4 linked regions of the Drosophila melanogaster genome follow. The protein of the gene in region 1 interacts with the protein of each later gene in a pairwise test. Each region holds a gene or a part of one and is shown in the gene's direction. Other genes may lie near its edges.

Evidence for each region.
Region 2: the proteins of CG17666 (region 1) and CG14204 interact in a two-hybrid assay, tested with the Drosophila melanogaster proteins (one large-scale study listed by BioGRID).
Region 3: the proteins of CG17666 (region 1) and CG10035 interact in a two-hybrid assay, tested with the Drosophila melanogaster proteins (one large-scale study listed by BioGRID).
Region 4: the proteins of CG17666 (region 1) and CG5225 interact in a two-hybrid assay, tested with the Drosophila melanogaster proteins (one large-scale study listed by BioGRID).

What each region holds. Positions count from the first base shown.
Region 1 is NT_037436.4:12,779,551-12,784,888, forward strand, and holds CG17666 (uncharacterized protein), read left to right. Parts: upstream 1-1,774; 5' UTR 1,775-1,911; coding exon 1,912-1,967; intron 1,968-2,024; coding exon 2,025-3,719; intron 3,720-3,753; exon of another isoform or gene 3,754-3,837; coding exon 3,838-4,140; intron 4,141-4,194; coding exon 4,195-4,759; 3' UTR 4,760-4,827; downstream 4,828-5,338. Other genes in the region: CG10969 (uncharacterized protein), read right to left, coding at 1-1,471.
Region 2 is NC_004354.4:19,581,600-19,587,593, forward strand, and holds CG14204 (uncharacterized protein), read left to right. Parts: upstream 1-2,017; 5' UTR 2,018-2,042; coding exon 2,043-2,340; intron 2,341-2,399; coding exon 2,400-2,772; intron 2,773-2,830; coding exon 2,831-2,904; intron 2,905-2,977; coding exon 2,978-3,293; intron 3,294-3,357; coding exon 3,358-3,574; intron 3,575-3,865; coding exon 3,866-4,047; intron 4,048-4,105; coding exon 4,106-4,577; intron 4,578-4,647; coding exon 4,648-4,947; 3' UTR 4,948-5,458; downstream 5,459-5,994. Other genes in the region: CG14218 (uncharacterized protein), read right to left, coding at 1-60; CG14219 (uncharacterized protein), read right to left, coding at 5,783-5,994.
Region 3 is NT_033777.3:12,380,344-12,384,376, reverse strand, and holds CG10035 (uncharacterized protein), read left to right. Parts: upstream 1-1,685; 5' UTR 1,686-1,716; coding exon 1,717-1,956; intron 1,957-2,025; coding exon 2,026-2,646; 3' UTR 2,647-3,508; downstream 3,509-4,033. Other genes in the region: GstD11 (glutathione S transferase D11), read right to left, coding at 1-30; GstD8 (glutathione S transferase D8), read right to left, coding at 3,703-4,033.
Region 4 is NT_033777.3:17,026,801-17,031,255, forward strand, and holds CG5225 (uncharacterized protein), read left to right. Parts: upstream 1-1,892; 5' UTR 1,893-1,905; coding exon 1,906-1,936; intron 1,937-1,998; coding exon 1,999-2,631; intron 2,632-2,743; coding exon 2,744-3,864; 3' UTR 3,865-3,901; downstream 3,902-4,455. Other genes in the region: Pxd (peroxidase), read left to right, coding at 1-118, 181-337, 399-768, 832-937, 996-1,101.

The sequences.
Region 1 (5,338 bases):
CATGCATCTGTCGCACTCTTGTGGCTCCACACGCGCTATTCAACTGCAGTTGCACTTGTGCAATCTGCGCCTGAGCCTCGAGCATTTGCTTTCTTAGCTCCTCGGCCAGCATTTCGGTCAGGCCATAGTTGTTCTCCTCAATGCCTTGCTGTTGCATTTGTTGTTCCATTTGATCACAGGTATTCACTTGCTGAAGCTGCTGACAAGGATACACATTCTGCATCTGCGGCAGAACTTGCTGCTGCATCGACTGCTGCAAATTGTATGCAAATGCTTTGCCAGACTGCTGCTGCTCCTGACACTTGAGACATCCTTTTGGTTTCACATTGGGACAGGGTGGATTTCGTCCACAATTTCGTTGCTGTTGCTGGAAGCAAGATGGTTGCTGCTGCAAGCAAGATGGTTTCTGCTGCAAGCAAGATGGTTTCTGCTGCAAGCAAGATGGTTTCTGTTGAAAGCACGGTTGTTGCTGTTGAAAGCAAGGTTGTTGCTGCTGAGGACAAGATCGTTGCTGTCCAAACCAATTACCATTCTGTTGCTGCGGACAACCCGTGCACTTATTGCACCTCGAAATCGATGGCGGTTCGTTGTTCATGTTATCATTTTCACAATCGAGGCTGAGGAAATGTGCTTCGGTAACCTGGCAAGCGGTGACTATTTCCGCTTCACCCATAATTTGGTGTTCCTCATCGCATATGGTCACGATATTTCCGCAATTGGGGACGTCGGATTGAAACCATTGGCAAGTACCAGGACGATGTCGTGTGGGATACTCTCCTCGAAAGCAGGGAATTATCTTCGAGTTCGATGGCTTCGGTTCCGTTTCTGGTATACATTCTGTGGGCTTTTCTTCCTCTATTATAAAATTGGTTTTCGTTTCCGGTTTCAAGTTCTCATGCGTTTCCGGGATTGAATTATTTGTGTCTTTCACTTCTGTTTGCTTGTTTTCTTCGGTCAAACTCGGAACTCCGGAAGGTATCTTTTCGAACTCTTTTTCTCTGGCCTTGGCGACGGATGCCTCACTAACCAGCTCTGGTATCTTATTGAACTCTTCTTCCCTGCTTTTTGCCTTCACTGTGGGGGATTCATTGCGACGTTTGGCTGAGGCCATCATAGACTGACCAGGAGTCTTTGAATTGGGTGGATCTCCTCCCAACACTGGTTTCACCGGCATACCCGCCTTCAATCGAACCGATGCCTTGGGCTTACTGTGCGACATCAATGGCACAAACTCTGGACTTCCCATCGATCTGCAGACACTTGCCTGCCGGCGACGACGAGGTGTTGGTGGGCAGGATGATCGGGAACGCACGGCTTCCTGTCCAGACGGTAAGCTCTGAGCCAGGGCTCGCACCAGCTGCTGTCCGACTCGATTGCTGTATTGCTCCGATGCTATGTTCCTCCTCGGAGGAGGACTCGCATGACGCCAATAGGGACTGGGCCTGGTTGACTTGACTCCGTCATTGGGCATTTCTTCTTTTTTCCCAAATACAATTTTTTGTCTCAGTTATACAATGCTTCCGTTTAAATTTGTTTTTTGGCGTGACAAAGAATTTTGTAATGTCATTTTTTTGACCAAAACTAAAAAGAGAGTTTTGGTCGACATAAATAGTAAGTTAAATAAACCAAGGAAGTCTTTTTGTTTACAAGGTTTCTCTTATATTCATATCATATTATAATCTGTAAAGAACACATATATGAAGATGGTAGCACCACTTTCAAAACGTTGTTTTATCACAACTGATCATGCAATGATTTTAACAATATAGTCTTAGTTTAGGACATCAAAAATATAAATTGTACCATTTACTTCTACTTTTTTATGATTTTGACTACCGATGTTATGTTTGTGTACTCTTCGTAATTGACCATGAGTGAAGGTGGACTTTTAAACAGAACCAGGAGTTGAAAATGTGCGATCCATGTCGATATTTAAGGAGGTGCATAAGCTGCCATGGCAATGGCTGGTAAGTATAAGAATATAGTTAGTGTCTCAACCCAATTGCATTTATACTCATCCGCAGGTGCTGTCCTCGACCAAGTTGCTGTGAGCGATCTTGTTCCTCTAATATGAGGAATTGTCGCGTCGTGTTTTCTGGGGAGTTCCAAAAGTTTTCGGACATGGTGCCGCCCAGTTTTCTTCTAAAGACGCCAGAGCGCCCAAAGAAAAGGAAACGATCGAAAAGTTGCTCAGCCTGTGGGGACAATTGTAAGGATCCGTGTTTAAACATGGATGCATGTGCGGAGAGTTGTGAGAATCCATGTCAAGATGGTAAGAATGGATGCAAGAATCCTGAAGATTGCGCGCAAGACGATCTAGCTAGAACTGGAGCCTACGGAACAGGCTTTGGCTTCCAACCGGGACAACCGACTATTATTCCGTGTTATGGAACTTACGGACCGACAGGAAATCCAATGATTTTTGGTATCCCGCCACCGACTCAATATGGAGGCTTTGGTGTACCTGGTCCCATAGTTCTACCAGTGGCTCCACCATCCTCGGTAGGTCAGGGTGATCCAAGATCTATTCCAGCGGCAGGTCTACCCACACAGTACACAAATAAGTTTAATCCCTGTACCGGAGAAGTCTACCAATGCGGAGATCGCCAAATGCCACCTGGAAGGCCACAAGGAACGGCGCAAGTACCTTCCTATAATCAATTTATACAGGGTTTAGGCATGAGCTGTGCCCCCAATAGTCAGTATATTCCATTCGATGCAACATTCCAACAACGTCCAATAAATCAAATGCCAGTCACTCCTACCTCAGGAGGAAGTGCACCAGCTTATGGCCGAAATAATCAACCAATGAACTGTGAGCCCAACAATCAGAATTATAGCTATACTGTTCCCCAATCAACGAATCAAGTTCATGTTGGTGCTAACAGATCTGAAGTCTATAACCAGCAGAGTCAAGCCACACATTCAAGGCCAGTTCCCCAATTGGAGTCATCAAAGGGGCAACTGCCTCATGGTAACAACAGATCTAAATCTCCAAATCAACGAAGCCCATCTAGGGGAGATCGATCAGGCAGAGCTTATGCCAATAATAATTTTCCTGAAAATGTTCATGCTAGTCCAGGTGCTCAGAGGTCCAAGTCGCTCAGTCACCGAAATGAGTCGAGGGAAGGTCGTTCCGGAAAACCACAAGCCAGTAGAGCCACAACCAATTATCATTCTAATAGTGGTGGAGATAGAAATGTAGATCATAGGTCCGCGCCCAAGTCAATGGCATCCGCTGGTGAAGTGCGTTCTCGTGATAACAACAGATCGTACGATTCAAGAAATCGTAATAAATCTGTAGGAGCACCTACCAATCGACAACCCGTACTTTATGACCAGCAGAGGGTGGGCATGGGCATTGATCCATCCAATCAGTATTATCCGTACAATGAATGCGCTCCACTTAATGCCACATTTGTCCAAGACCATAATCCTTTTTATGCTCAGCCAGGACATGACGTGAATAGAACGCAAGCAGCAAGTGCACCAAACTTATCGAAGGCAGGACCCAAAAAGGATAAAAATTCGAATAAAGTTCCATCAAGCTTTAAACCATCGAAGGAGAAATCCACTAAATGCTGCTGCACTCGGTTCGATCCCAACAATCAATACTATCCTCATTACGTTTCCGAAGAATCTGATTGTCCACCGGAAGAAAATGTGAACTCTGGAAAAAAGAAGACGCAGGAAAAGAATTGCCTTGAGCTTCTCAGCCGGTGAGTTTAATGTCAGAGTTCGTGAGCTATTACAGCTCTCGAATTAGGCTTACTCAATCCACCATTCGGCACACATCTTTAATCGAACACGAAGTAATGTCTTCCGTATCCATTGCAGCCTCACCGAGTCCTGTCCTCCGTGTGACCTGCAGAAGTGGTGTCACCTCCTGATGCCGAAGGACAAGGACAAGAGCAAAAAGCAAGCGAAACCGTCTGCCAAGAAGAATAAGAAATCGAATGGCTCAAAAGTCAAGAACAAGATGAGCGAGCACAGCAGCAACGAAATAGAAGGTACCGTAGCATCACCACAGGAAACACCAGAAGACGAGGATGCCCACTGCCCGTGTAACTGCAAGAAACCATGTCCAACGCCTCCGACAAAAGAAATGCGCACCTGCGGCTGCTCTGCCAATTTGCCTGAGTGAGTACCCACTTCTGTCCACTTCCATCAAGGAGTAATTAATGCGTTTCGCAGGGAAAACGAAGATCCTCCACCAGCACCCTCGAATCCTCCACCAGCACCCTCGAATCCTCCACCAGTACCCTGCAATCATGCTCCAGCTCCAGTAAATACCTGCTGCATGCCCTGCTCGAACCAATGTCCTTGGTCCTGGTACTATAATCCCTGCACCGGCTGTTACTACTACTGCGCGAATTGCTGCAATGGCTGTCGTAATTGCTGCAATTACTGCTGCAGTCCGTGCGGTTGCTGTTGCAGCAACTCCCCTGCTGCTCAGCTGGAGAAGATTCCTCCGAAGCCGAAGCAAAAGGAAAGGCAAGACAGATCGTCCAATAGCACGCGAAATTCCGGCGGCACGGCTGTGAGTTTGGGAAGCTGTGCTCCGCCTTCTACGTTTGCACCCTGGAAATGCCCAAGGCAAGAGGTTTCAACCATGCCGGGCTATTCTCCGACTGCCTCGCCACACTTCAGCTCTCCATACAGTGGGCGGTGGAAGGCTGGCTGTGTGGATAGTCATCGGAACTATCAACGGAATAACCAAGGTCCTCCTTTCAACATCGGCCGCGTGCACCATGTCTAAATTAAACGTTGAATATTTTTTACATTTTCACACAAGCCTATCTCAAAATAAAGAACATTTTGGAATGCACTTTTCTCTTCCTTTTTAATTGTTTATAATTTAAAAACAGGCATATTTCTACGATTTTCCTTAGTACTTTTTATTAGTTCAAATCGGTATTTTGTTTCTTTTTCATTTTATACACTCTTTTATGTGTTTCTCTCTTTTGTATACCATATACATATATAGATTTTTTCGAAAGTTTTGTGGGCTTTGCTTGTAGAAAAACTTAAAAAGTTTCTTTAAAATATAAATTTCTTGTCATAAAATTAAATACATCTTTAAAGTTGTTTTAGAAAAGACCTAACTAAAAACTATGAACATAGCACATTGTAAACATGTTTGTGTAGTGCAGCCATCAATATTGTATGGTATGTTTATAATATAATAATAGGGGAATATTAGATTGTTAAATAAGAAAATAGGCATTAAAACTACGGAGAAATTCTAGCACATGATATATGGATCTGGGTTCTCCCGCTTCCTCCTTTAAACATAGATTTAAACTGAGTTTGGCTTGCATATTGCCCTTTACGTTAT
Region 2 (5,994 bases), on another chromosome or scaffold:
CAGCGCCAGGAGCAGGCCCACCAACAGCAGGGCCATCAACTGCAGACGTAACATCCTCATCCTGACGGATCAAAGAGTATGTGTGTACCGCTCGAAAGGCCGTTCCAATCAGAACTGGCGCTGGTCAGCGCTGGAGTCGCCTGCCTGTACTCCAACGGAGTGGTGCCACGCGGGCCTGGGCGTCGCGGATTAAGTGCCCCCCCAAAGTCAACTAGTTAGACGGGTTAGCTGCGACCGTCCGCCTGGATCTCGTAATCGCAGACCCCGCCGACTGCCGGCGGTTATCAACGAGTTCAGTGCGTGGCAACAATTACTTTTGCACTACTTTTGCGCCAGTTTATAGATCGTAAGTGCAGCTCGAACTATGCATAATGCTTAGCGGCGAGTGCATTTTAAGAGGCTAAACAACACGCACCGTGGGACTAGAACTCCATATACCCACCTATATATATACCATACATACACATAGCATATACCATATAGTAGAGCTGCCTCCAACATAAGGGATTGATATACACAAGGGAACTAACTATCTGCAAGCTCATTAAGTATCTATACTATTTAGATTGTTCTGTGTCGAGTACGAATCTACATGTTTTAAAACCCTAACAAAATATCAATAATTCACAGATAAGTTTCCCATAAGATAGGGAAATCATTCATAGATTGCTTGTTTTATAATTGTAAACTCAAGTGGTTATATACCATATACAAACGTATGTATGTACATACTACCAATTTCACTTGAACTTGTGTCAAATCTCATTCCTCAAAACAGTTCAAATGTTCAACAATGAAGATTATCTGAATATTATAGGTGTATTCGATTGGGAAAGATTTTACGAACAGTGGGCGCTTACTAATTCGTTGACTAATTCGTCAAGTTTGTACCACTGTGCCGAAAAAGAGGGGCTGTCACGATTTGCTCTCATAATAATATGAATTTCAATTTCGGTTTGGCTGCGGCTGTTGCATTTGATTTTCAAGATATATTTAATCATTTCCAGAGTAATTAACAGCTTTTGGTTTTTCAAGCATTGGCGCAACTGGACAATGGTTAGCAACTCTCGTTTGCAATTCGCATTCGCATCGGAATTGGGTGAAAAACCAGTTTAGACCTTCGATTTTCCGAAAGTTTTGACCAAAGTTTTGACACTTGCTGCCTGAGTTCTGCATGTAAATTAGATTTTGACTGCTGTACCGGTTGTTCAGGTCTTTTCAAATAGGCAACTATGCATAATCTAATTTAAGTCATAGTTACTTATATACATATATAAAAGTACCATTCAAAACACTAACTTTCGCGTTGGCAATGCTGGGTATCTGATAGTCGGTTCGGTTGCATTTGGCGTTCCTTCTCGCTGTAACCTTGATGTATTGCTGTTGCATAACCAAAAAATGCGAATCTGGTCCAAAATTCATACGAAAACCAGTCGGTGCCACACCCCTCCACTTTTGGCTGGGAACCTAGACGAAAGTGAAAACTCGTTCGAATTTCCATTTTCCAGCAAAAGCTGGGAAAACCTGGAAAACACAGGATATCGAGAAATAAGTATTGCATGTCAAAATCAAAAACTGGACAAATCTCTGTCCCGAAAAATGTCGGAATTGCAGACACAAAAAAAAAAAAAAACGACAGACAACTGAGCAACAATTTGCTGAACATTTCGTTTGAATACCATTAGTCATGTTGTATGGAAAGCCAAATCGCCTTTTAATCAGCAGCTAAGTTAAGTTAAGTATTCTCGGGAAATTCGACAAGGTAGAGATGCTACCGAAACAGCCAAATCCAGCGGCTTATCTTTCCGGGTATTCATCCGAATCGCAATAGTATTAGCCACGTTAAGAGTTCGCTGCCCTGATTACCAAGGGTAGCTATGCCTCCGATTATTGGTAACTATTCTATTGTCGGAGGCGCAGATAATGAGATAATGAATTCTCGATTTCGAATGGGAAATGCACAGCAGGATTTGCCTGTGTATAAATGGGCCAGGGAAGGGTGATTCGCTAAACAGTCGTAAACTAGGAGCTCCAGGCGAAAGATGATCAAGCTATTGGCTATATTGCTTGCCATGGGAATGGCGATGGTCCAAGGAGCGCTGCCGACCCAACTATCAAATAATCAATGGACACAACACGATGTGTCCTCCATGGCGGATTACGAACGGCTCCTGGATCTGCGCTCCCTGGCAATGGAGTTCTATCGCGAATTTCGGAACATTTCAACGGCGGATGTGCATCTTCTGGGTGAGCGGATTGGATCACAAGATCTACAGTGCCTGGCCGATATGGCCCAGTTTATGAGTGCGCTTAGTGCGCCCAAGGCGTGGGCCCTAAAAAGTGGGTATTACAACATCTTCAACTTTGATGCCATTTGAGTTTATCCCTTCTATGCGAAGTGCTCGACGCGTGGGGCACCATTCCATCGGGATATCTCATTGGCAACCGCGTCGACATGGGCAACTACAGGGAGTGCCTGTCCGAGGGCGGAATGCTCACCTCATCGCAGGACATCCAGGGAAAGTACTGCTTCATGGAGCTGCCGGTTGCCAAGTGGTTGGGTTTCACTTCTGAGCTGCTGGCGGTGACCAACATAAGGACTGCTGTGTGCCTGCCTTCCTCTTGCTCGGCGGGCACCATGGAGCTGTTCCTCAAGCAACTGCTCAAGCGGCTGCTTGGCGTCAGTGATCCGACCAATTTGTTTTCCATCAGCGAGACGTCGTGCAGAATCAAGGAGAAAGCACCCTGGGATGGGCTCACCATATTCACAGTGTGAGTAGTGTCTTGATACATCCTAGCTGATCTATCCATACTAACTGACTACCATCAGCGTTCTACTGTCCGTATTTGGTGTCACGGTTATCCTGTGCACCCTCTACGACTACTTCTTGTGTCCGGAGCAGGGTAAGTAGCTGACATAAATCGGATAACAGCCTATATGTATGTATATGTACCATATATCCATGTCTACCCGCAGAAAAGCTACCCCGTCCCATCGGCGCCTTCTCAGCCCGTGCCACTTCGCGTTCGCTGTTCACCATTGTGGAGAACACGGCGAATCCGAATGTAATCCACTGTCTCAATGGCATGCGGTGCATGTCCCTGATCTGGGTAATCTTGAGCCATGAGTACATTATCAACATGAAGGGTCCCGCCATCAATCCAGCGGACAACCTGCGATGGGCGACGCAACTCTTCTCGAGCTTCATACTCTACGGTACCTTGTCGGTGGACACGTTCTTCTTCATCAGCGGCTTGCTGCTGGTTTCAATTGGCCTGCGAAGCATAGAAAAGTGAGTCAACTTGTACAGGGATTAATCCGATCTGTAGGCAGGCTAACATTCTCAATGGCTCCAGAAACAAGGGAAAGCTAAATGTGCCGCTGATGTATCTGCACCGATATCTGCGCCTCACTCCGATCGTAGCCGTTGCCATACTGGCATTCTACAAGATGATACCCCTCATCGCAGACGGCCCAATGTACGATGATATCGGCTTTTTCGACTACTCCGGGTGCAAGATGACCTGGTACTGGACTCTGCTCTACGTGCAGAACTACGCAACATCCGATGTGGTGAGTTGAATGTCCAAGTTGATCAGGAGAGGTGGACAAGCCCATCTAGTCCGTCCGTATCAGGATGGATCTGTATCAACCTTATATACCTTAGAAGTTACAATAATTAAAAGTGTTTAGTGGCTTTACTGCGAATAGGAGATCACTTCGATAGATGGCGCCTGCAGCACTAGAATTGATCGTTGGCGCCATCTATGTAAGTTCGGTGGTACCATTGCCATTGCAGTTGGAGCTCTTGACTATATCTGTATATTTATCTATCTAATTATTTGATTGTTGGTTGCTCCTTAGTGCGTGCCGCATACCTGGTACTTGGCGGTGGACATGCAACTGTACATCCTGTCCCCGATCCTGCTGATCGCCCTCTACAAGTGGGGCAAGAAGGCGGCCGGAGGTATCCTGGTGGTCACTTTGTTGCTCTCCGCCTGCCTGTTTGCCACCATAATGGTGAATGACTTCCCTGTGATGTTCAAGTAAGCCAGTCGCGCCCGCCGTTTTGTGTCCCCCAATGCTAATTGCAATTACTAACAGGAATGGAATTCAGGCTCAGGTGGTTCAGAGGAAGATCTACACCGCTACGCATACCCATGCGGCGCCCTGGTTGGTCGGTACTATGTTCGGTTATCTCCTGCACCTGATGCGCGGCCGAAGATTCAAGTTAAGCCTCCTGGCTACCTGGGCAGGCTGGCTGCTCTGCCTGGCCCCGCTCTTCACCTCGATCTTCGCCTTGTATCCGTACTCCAAGCTGCTGGGCAAATCGCCCTCAGTGTTGCAGGGAGCCCTCTACTATACACTGGTCCGGATCGCCTGGCCCCTCGGTCTCTGCTGGGTGGTCTTTGCGTGCATGCAGGGCTATGGTAGTCTGGCCAACAGCTTCCTCTCCTCTCCACTTTGGCAGCCGTTGTCCAAGCTCTCCTACGGCGCCTACATCTGGCACATCTTTGTCGTGGAAGTCGCCAATAGAAGCGTTCAGACCAATACGTACTTCTCCAACTATCAAGTGGTAAGTGTGTGGCAGGCAGGGTCACTCGACATTCCTATTGGACTTGAACGCTTCATTTCCAACTCCATAGATGCTCAACTTTTGGTCCACCTTTGGCTTTACCCTGCTGATGTCCTACGTGCTCTACGTTTTAATTGAGGCGCCTCTGGAGGCCTTGGAAAGAATTATGTTTCCCAATCGCAGAAGCCCGCCAGCAGCAAAGGATCAGCTGCATATCGAGTCCCGAACGGAAGTCGTGGACCAGATGGACCAGATGGATCACATGGACGGGATGGATCAGGTGGTGCAGCACGAGAAGCGCAGTGATATCCAGCCTGACCTGGAAACGAGTGCCAACAAAACAGAGACTGACCTCGAGTTATCAAATTAGACTTATCAGCTCCTATTTAGCCTTTATTAAAACGAACTACTTGTAATCTAGGCACAATTAACTTAACCACGGGTCTAGAGTTACGATGGAATGAATGGTCCTTGAGTTGAAAAGTCTTGCACTTAAGACGATATCAGTCGTTATCTGGTTGCGACTTTTGCGACCAGGTGGGTTTCGAATTAGTCATGAAGGTGATTCCCGACTTTGGCTTGCTGTAATGGGCACACAAAGATTTCAATTCTGACTCACAGAGGCGATGCACGCCCCATTCAGTTACAGAAAAAAAGAAAAGAAACACAAAAAAAAAACAGAAGGAACGACTTTGTCTAGTGTCTCGACTATCAGATATGTATGCACCAAAGCGTTTACAAGTTTTTCAGTTTGATAAGAGCCAAATCTGTTGATAATTTACATTCCATAGATTACGTATTTGTATTTGTATACTTGACTTCCCCACTTTGCTGACCATGTGTCTTGACTTTCATCTGCGTAGTGACGAAATGCTATGTTTATAGTCAGGAAATTGGAGAATTTGCTCTGATAAAACGATAAAATCAATCGATTGACAAACCAATCGAAACGTATTTATTAACATTTTAAACTTGTATTTTGGATGCTTAAAGTGGGCGGGGCCAACATGTTGTGGGCAGATCGACAGAAATGGGCAAGCCAAATAATAAAAGTAGGCGTATCTGCGTTCATATGGATGGACATGGAAGTATCGACTCGTCCAGTGATTCTGATCAAGAATATCGGAATCGCTTACCGTACAATGAATTTCGAACACAGTTTTAATACTTTACGTAACGCATGAAATCATATATTTTAAATGTAATTATACTAAAACGTTGCTCTTTTCGGGAGCAGCCTGAATAACTTCGTCGGGTATCGTGGATATCGCTTCCGCAGGCTTACCTACTGGAGATTCTTCGACTGATGCCTTCACCTCCGACATCCTGGGCTCCACCACCGCGGCCGGCTTGGCATTTGGCCTCTTTGCGGGCAGCAAAAGGCTTTCCAGACCGGCGAATGGCGCTTCGATTAGGA
Region 3 (4,033 bases), on another chromosome or scaffold:
TTCAGTTACAATACGCTTCGTGTCGGACATTGGCCGGAACTGGAATGCCAGGTTACCGGCCACACGCAGGCCCAAAAAAGTTGCCTCTTGGCGGTCAGCGGCAAATAATCAATGCATCGATTTTATTCGACTATATATTTATAGTTAATTAATGCCAATTGTTCTTGGCGTGGTCTTTTGAGAACTTGCAAAAAGTTGGCAGCAAGGCTATTAAGTACTGTAGTTTTATTATTAAGTAAATTTAAAGGTAAACCGAATAAAATGATAGCATGGTAGTACAATTGGAAAATGTGTTCTTAATGGAATTAAAAAGATTACAACAGTCTTCAAATAATAAATATTTAAATATCGCTGTTGAAGGTTGTGTCACTAAACGATCAGCCTAAATGTATGCAACGATTTTGTTAACAAATGTAAAATGCTTAGGTAAGTGTAAAATTCATCGCTTCTAAATAAATAAATATATAAAAAGGTAAGTGTAAAATGTAAAATGTAAGCTTGTGCTGATAAATATATGTATATAATGCTCCCTAATATTTTTGTAACAAAACAGCGGAGATAATTTTAATAAATTATGATTAATTCATACAGGGAATTCCCGATTCGAGACCCGTTCCCTGAGGCACCCTCCTATCTGGAAATGGTAATCGCTGTGCTGTGGCCAACACTTAATTGCACTCACTTATTTATTCATTATGGAATATGCACAGAAGGCGTTGGACCAGCCGAACCGACCCATTGGACACTCCTACTACTCACACAATTCGGTGCACCAGCTTGTGCTGCACCACGGCCACCGAGTCGATGTCGATGCAGTTACCCAGTATGCCGTCGAGTGTTGCCGCGTCCACGTATGCCGGAGCTCGCCAAAGGACTATGACTGACACTGATGCTGCTACTGCTACTGCTGCTCCGGTGGCTGGTGCGTGGGCCACTCTATGCGGTGATGGAATCTGTCTCAGCTGTCCCAACTTGCCGACGACTCTGTTCACCGATGTATCCGCTATCTGACTTTTCCAATTTCCAGAGCATGTTGTCTCGCCAGCGTTGTCGTCGCTGTCTTTGGGCGCATTTGTTTTCGTTTAGTTTTCATAACGAACGTTGCCATGGACGACAGTCCGCCTCAGTGTTCACCTGGTCGAAAAGGACTGGTGGCTGATGTGGGTTGGGTGGTGGGGGGAGGTGCTCGTTGGCGGTCCCGAAAACTCAGCCAAAATGCTCACATTCGTGTCTAAAATTATATGTCTACATTATGTGCCAAGCTATGCTTTTCCTTTTATTGATTGCCAACAGATTTTCCAATTCAGAGCACCTGATTAAGTTGACTGAGTGGTGGGGGGTGTTTTGATTGGCATCACTTGAAACTCAACGTGTTTGCATCAAACATTTTTCGACAGTCACGACTTCATCGCGTGCTTGACATTTCTTAGGGCCACTCAAGGACACGGCCGGCACAGTGGTAATTAGCCAGGACATAAATGTTTCACGTGACGGTGTCCCACGGCCAAGGCATCTTCTACCTGAACCCTTACAAGCAGGTAAGGTATGGAAAATTGCTTTGTGTTAGGGATTAGAAAAGAAGTGGGATCTTTAGGATTCCCAGAATTTGTGACATTAATTGCAAAACAAGGACTAAAATGGCCGAACTAGACGAGGCTTTAAAAGAATCGATCGTGTCTGGGCCAGGATCAGTTGTTTTTCCACACCCAAGCGAAGATGAAGTACCTCAAAGACTGCAGTTTCCATGTCCTGTTGGTTCTGCTGCTAATGATCCGTGGATCGCTTTGTGTGCCAGCTTTGGACGCAGCTCCTCCGGCTGCCACACCCAACACCGTGGAAGAGTCGGAAAATCTGGTCGAGGGCAGTGGCGAACCAGTTGTCGCACCCACAGACGTGGTACCTGCAGCCAGCAATGGTACCACTCCTCCGGCTGAAGGAAACTCGGAAGCAGCGGTGGTAAGTTTTATATACAATTTTACTGTGTTATATTTATAATAATCTAATAATTCCATCCTGATATAATAGCCAGACAACGTGGCCAGTGGTAGCAGCATTGATCCCACCACCATTTACGCTGGAGGCCTACTCACTCCCGAGGCCTTTCAGCAGTACCTGAGTCAGTATGGAGCGTATGCTCCTTACTCCTATCCTGCTCCTGTTGCGGGAACAGCAGCTGGCATTTACCCGTACCCTGGACCCATTGTGGTGCAGACGGGCTACGAGGGATTCCTGGTGCCCACTAATACCGCAGGACAATCGGACAGCACCACTGTCCTGGCTCCCACTGCCCAGCCCAACTCCTCGAATCCACTGATGACATTTGTCTCCAATCTTCTGCCCACGATCCTGATGTCCACGCTCTTTCGCATCGCTGCCGTTGTGGTTTCCGCCGTGGGCATCATCCTCTTTGGCGGTGCCATCACCAGTGCCCTGTGCAGGATCACTCCAATCTGTGAAATACCCGCCCGTGCTGTGAATATCCTGCGGACGGGTGGTGCCCAGGATGTGGGTCGCATGCTGGCCGAGGAGATGACTCCGGAACGAGTGCGTCGGGCAACGGAATTCGTGCGCAACGCCATCCGGAAGTACAAGCAACTGCAGAAGCTGGTGGAGGCATCGGAGGCGGTGACCGAGTTGACCAACTAGGGATGGCGCAATGGGTGTAGGTTTAGTGCTGGCTCGTAAATTAGGTGGAATGCAAAATATACTTTTAATGATGCTATAAAACATGATTTCACTTTTTTCTGTCGCAAGGGGTTCTTAAAAGGTGTTGAGATTTTGTGTTGCAAATTTGTTAGTGAAATATATAAACACGATTCAAAAAATGGTTCGCAAAAAGTGTTTACATACACGACTTATGATATAATCGTTTGATTTGTCTATTGATTATTAGCTTTAAATTGTTTTGGAACTTCTGTGGCAACCCTCTGGTGGATTTGTTGGCGCACAATGACCAATGAGAAGTATGTGTGCACTTGCATATGTAGTTTGTAACCGCTCAATGCCACAAGCAGCACGTTTGTTAGCTAACTGAACTCGCGATTGTTCTAATAGTTGGTCGGTCAATGGCCCAAGTGGCTTGTGGATCCCTCGAGGGGCGAAAAGGGGTCCAAGTGGATTTATATGTACCCCAGTGAAATCATCGCGTGCATTCAACTGCGGTGTTGAAATCGCAATTGGCAATTGTCGTGTGGCACTCGCGGAATTTACAGAGCTACAGAAACACAATCTCACTTTTATGAACCATGACAGAGATTGGAATTTTAAATATAAGTGGAGGCTGATTAGTGTGATCAGGACAAAACTACTGTTGCATAATCGCTTTTATCATTTATATAAATTTTTATCATTTTAGTGGGACGAACTACTTAAATATTTAAAATACGATTAAAAAATAATAATAAAAATAATAAGGGTACCGCCTATCAACATTTCAAGCCGAAAAGCAAAAGTAATTAATATTTGCTGATAAGAGAGTGAACAAATAAATGCCTTTCGTTTGTTTTATAAGAAACCCCCATATATGGAGCAGCTTTTCAACAAGAAATGAAAGCTTTGTTTGTTTGAGATAATAATTTATTATCACGGTGCTCATAACAATGCGATTTATTTGTTTAACTACAATACAATATAACCATGTTTGGCAATAATTTGCCGAGGTATGTGGTATGTTGGGCATTTACTGCAGACATTCTCATCAAATCATTCATTCCTCTCCTGGACAAGTTTCTTGATTAGCTGTACACCGTCCCAGTTCTCTTCCCAACCGGGAGTCACTTCCTTGGCATTCTCGTACCACCTGGCCACATTTGGATACTGGGCTATATCGAAGTCCACCACCTCAAAGGTGGAAACGGAGGCCAACAGGGCAATGTCGGCAATGGTGAGGCAGTCGCCAGCCACATACTCCTGGTCCTCCAGGAAGGTGTCCAGGTGGCCAAAGGCGCTGTCCACTTTCTGCATGGCCTCTGGATCGGCGGGATGATTATTCCTTATCTGTGGATAGATGGCCTCGACGAAACTCTGAAACAGG
Region 4 (4,455 bases), on another chromosome or scaffold:
AGGCTCCATCCGGAAGCTATATCAACGATTTCGATCCCAACATTGATCCATCGGTGCTGAATGAGCACGCGACGGCCGCTTTCAGATACTTCCATTCCCAGATTGAAGGTCGTTTGGAGTAAGTGCCTATTTACTATTATGAGTTAAGAACATTTTATTAATTTTAAAATTTTTGTGCAGTCTACTGTCCGAGCTGCGTCAAGTTCTCGGCTCTCTGACCCTCAGCGACTGGTTCAATCGTCCCGGTATTATTGAGGTTGGAGATAACTTTGATTCCCTGACCAGAGGACACGCCACGCAGCCCGAAGAGCTAACTGATATCAATTTTGACCGACAGGTGGGTACACAAATAACAAAATGAGACCACCTTTCTAACCTCTCAACCTTTCCTGGCTTAGATCAAGCACTTCCTGTTCAGAAGAAACATGCCCTTCGGTTCCGATCTGCGTTCCCTGGACATTCAGCGTAATCGCGATCACGGTCTGGCTTCCTACAATGACATGCGGGAATTCTGCGGACTGAGACGTGCCCACTCGTGGGAGGGATACGGTGATCTAATAAGTCCACCAATTCTGGAAAAACTTAAGTCGCTATACCCGAGCCACGAAGACGTGGATCTGACTGTGGGCGCCTCCTTGGAGGCGCATGTGGCCGGAGCTTTGGCTGGACCCACCTTCCTGTGTATCCTCACGGAACAATTCTACAGAACCAGAGTGGGCGATCGCTTCTTCTTCGAAAACGGAGACAAGCTCACTGGATTTACTCCTGGTAAAAAGAACATTTCTCCTCTGACTATTTTAAATATTAATTTATTTATGTCTAATTTCGTAGATCAACTGGAGGAGCTGAGGAAGGCCAGTATGGCTCGTTTGCTGTGCGACAATGGCAACCACATTTCATCCATGCAGCCCGAAGCTTTCCGGACTGTTTCCCATTCGTAAGTTTAAATTGATTAAATTGGTTATTTGGAAAGTAACTGAGCTCTGAAATTACAGGAATCCGATTATACCGTGCTCAAATATTCCACAAGTCGACCTCACCAAATGGATTGATCAAAAGCTATATGCCACTGTAGATCCGTCTCACTACGGAAAGAAGTAATCCGCTGCTGTGGGATCTATGCTTAACTAGTTGAATACAAATACATTTAGCTTAATCAATAACATAAACGTAAATGCAAAGCCCCTCCCCCCCCCCCCCCCCTTGTATGATAATGTCCCAAACTGATGTACAGAAATAAAGCCCTTACCATTTAAACAATCAGCTTTACTTTCAGTGACCTGATAATGTTTGTAAGATTTCACGGAAATGAAAAGAAGTCAAGGGCAAATCCCAATGCCATCCAGACCCGACCCCTTCTTATGCAATAGGCCCGGATAAAGAAATGCCGGGTCCGAAAACCTTTACACTTTCGTTGACTTTGGGATAGCTCCGATTCATCGGGGTTAATCATATGGAGACGCGCGACCGAGGTGTGAACAAGTTGATAGAAACGGCCAATTAAGAGACAAAACTCTTTTTTCTGCCATTTTTAAGTCATGGTTCATTCGAATCGTAAAGCGAAACAATCGGCAACAGAGAATGTGTTCTTTTTTGCATATGTCTTCTGTTTTCAAATGGAAGTTAACATATTAATACTTCAGAGGCGGTTCACTTTTGGATTGGACATAAATTTACATATATAAGTTTAGAGAGAACCCAGGATGATAGCATCATCGCGAACAGGTTTGCATATTTTCCGAGAGATTTGGCAAGCAGATTTCTGAATGGACATGATATAACGGTTCTAGTGAATCTAGATTAATGAAAGTGATTTAAACAAAGTGTGCATACAAGATTAAGAGTTCATAATGCGGTATAAAAGTGATCCGTCCGCCGGAGAAAGGCAGCAGATACCATTTCGCCATGAGGCTGTTCGCAGTGATTTTTTGGATAGGTAAGGAATATGATTCAAATAGGATGGATCTGATTTCTAATTGGGATTCATTTCCTTTCCAGGCTGGGCCTTTGGCCTAGCGAATTCCAAGAACCCGAGTGCCGAGACGGGCAGACTGATAGCATCTCTACAAGCTGCTCCGGCTCCGGCGCCAGCACAAAGTGTGATCTACAAGCTGCCACCACAGCACTACTATCCGCCACCACCGCCGCCGCCTCCGCCTCCGCCACAGCACTGCAATTGCCCGCCAGGTCCACCGGGGCCTCCTGGACCGCCGGGCTTACCAGGAACGCCTGGTCCGCAAGGTCCCAAGGGACACACTGGGTCCAAGGGCGAGCGAGGAGAGAAGGGAGAACGCGGTCACTACGGACTACCAGGCCAACCAGGTGAACCGGGACCTATTGGTCCACCGGGACTACCAGGCCCACCCGGTCACAAGTCGGGACATGGTCACCATGATCATCATGATCACCACCATCATCATCCAGCGCCACCGCCACCACCTCCACCTCCGCCTCCGCCGCCTCCACCACCACCACCACCACACTCACACCCGCATTCACATCATCCCCACCCGCCGATCGTGACGCCACCAATTATAGTTCCCATACCATTGCCACCGCAGAAAGGTGAACATGGTCACCATCATCACCACAAGGGATCCAAAGGTCCACCCGGACCTCCAGGCCCACCAGGTAAGAGAAAATCGTTACTCATATATATCACAACGCTCTAACAGTGAAAATATTGAAAGGATATATTATAAGTCATTTTCCAAAATTTTACTGAGTATTTAATCTCTTGCAGGAACGGGACCACCGGGTCCTCCAGGACCTCCAGGCACTACGTATCCACAACCCCCACCACCACCACCACCACCGCCACCTCCACCACCATCGTACCCATACCCACCGTACCCGTATCCACCACCTGGTCCTTATCCGGGACCATGGATTCCTCTGCCAGTGCCAGTGCCCTGGCCCTCAAAGGGACATAAGGGGGATAAAGGTCACAAAGGAGGTCATAAGGGAGACAAGGGCGGACACCACCATCACTATTATCCACCAGGACACGATAAGGGAGGCTACTATCCGTATCCACCCCACGGTGGCCATGGAGGCCATCACCATCCAGGCCACAATTATCCAGGCCCCTATCCGCCACCATATCCACCTCACCATCCACATGATGGCGGAGACAAGGGTTATCACCATTATCCACCCCACAATCACGGAGGGCACAATCACGGGGGACACAACAACCATCATCCACCTCACAATGGAGAGCACAACCATAATCATCCCCCTCACAATCACGGAGGACATGGCCACCATCATCCCTCACACAATCACGGAGGGCAGGACCCACATAATACACACCCCCACACTGGTACACACGGAAATGGAGGACACAGCCAAACTTCACACCACCAGCACCCCCATCATCATCAACCAAAACCCACTAAGCCAGAGGGTAGTGGCGAGCAAACTCCACGGGATGATCTGGACTTGCTAGATGAAAATGTGGAGATTGTCGAAAACATAATTGATGAAAATGATAACGAAAATAATTTCATGGAGGGCGAGGAGGAAATGTCCAATGAGCCCAATGACTTGGAGACGGAACCCGAGGATGCGGACTACGGCCTTGAATATGCAGATAACACAGTGGAGAATCCCGAATCTCCGAGTGGCGCTGAAGAAATCGATGATGAGGATTCAAGCTATATGGTACCAGAAGGAGATGATGCGATGGAAGAGGACCATATGATGGAGGACCAGATGGACCCAGTGAATATGATGGAGGATAACGCACCTATGGATGGAGATGCAATTGAGGAGCGAACCAACAAAGGTCCGATTATCCTGTCAATTGGAACTCCTCGAAATCCCTTTCACATTTACGCCTATGAACAGTATAATATATAAATAAGCCAACACCACGAGAAAATAAAAAAATAACATTAAAATATGAGTCTTTTATGGGTTTTCTAACAATTTAAAAATACTACTTTTTGGGTTTCATTTAGAGATTTTGATACAGTTAATAAAATTTAAATGTTTAATAATAAACAAAAGCAGTGAACCTCTGTAGATTTCCGTATTAATAAGATCATCTCGCAGAATTCGTATAGCAAAAAATTTAAATGTATAAACAATAAACTGCGTTATTGTTAGCTGTCAAAATAGTTCCGTTGTTCTTGGAAATGTCTGCGGCTTTGTTAGATTTTCTATAAAATAACAATGGACAAAGATATGAAAAAAGTGAAATCATATTGAAATAAGCTATTAATTCAATGACAATCGAATGAAATTGCCAACTCAAATCATTTATCAAAATACAATGGTAAATTGTTGAATCTTATCAGCTAGGCAAGTAAAATTGTTTGTAATATATGTATTTAACTTTTGGCAGATATGAAATTAATAAGTTCAAATGTTTTCAGGTATTAGGTTGATTAAATTCATTAATAAATTTCTTTGTCCATAAATTAGTTTTGTACGACTTTTTAAAGCATG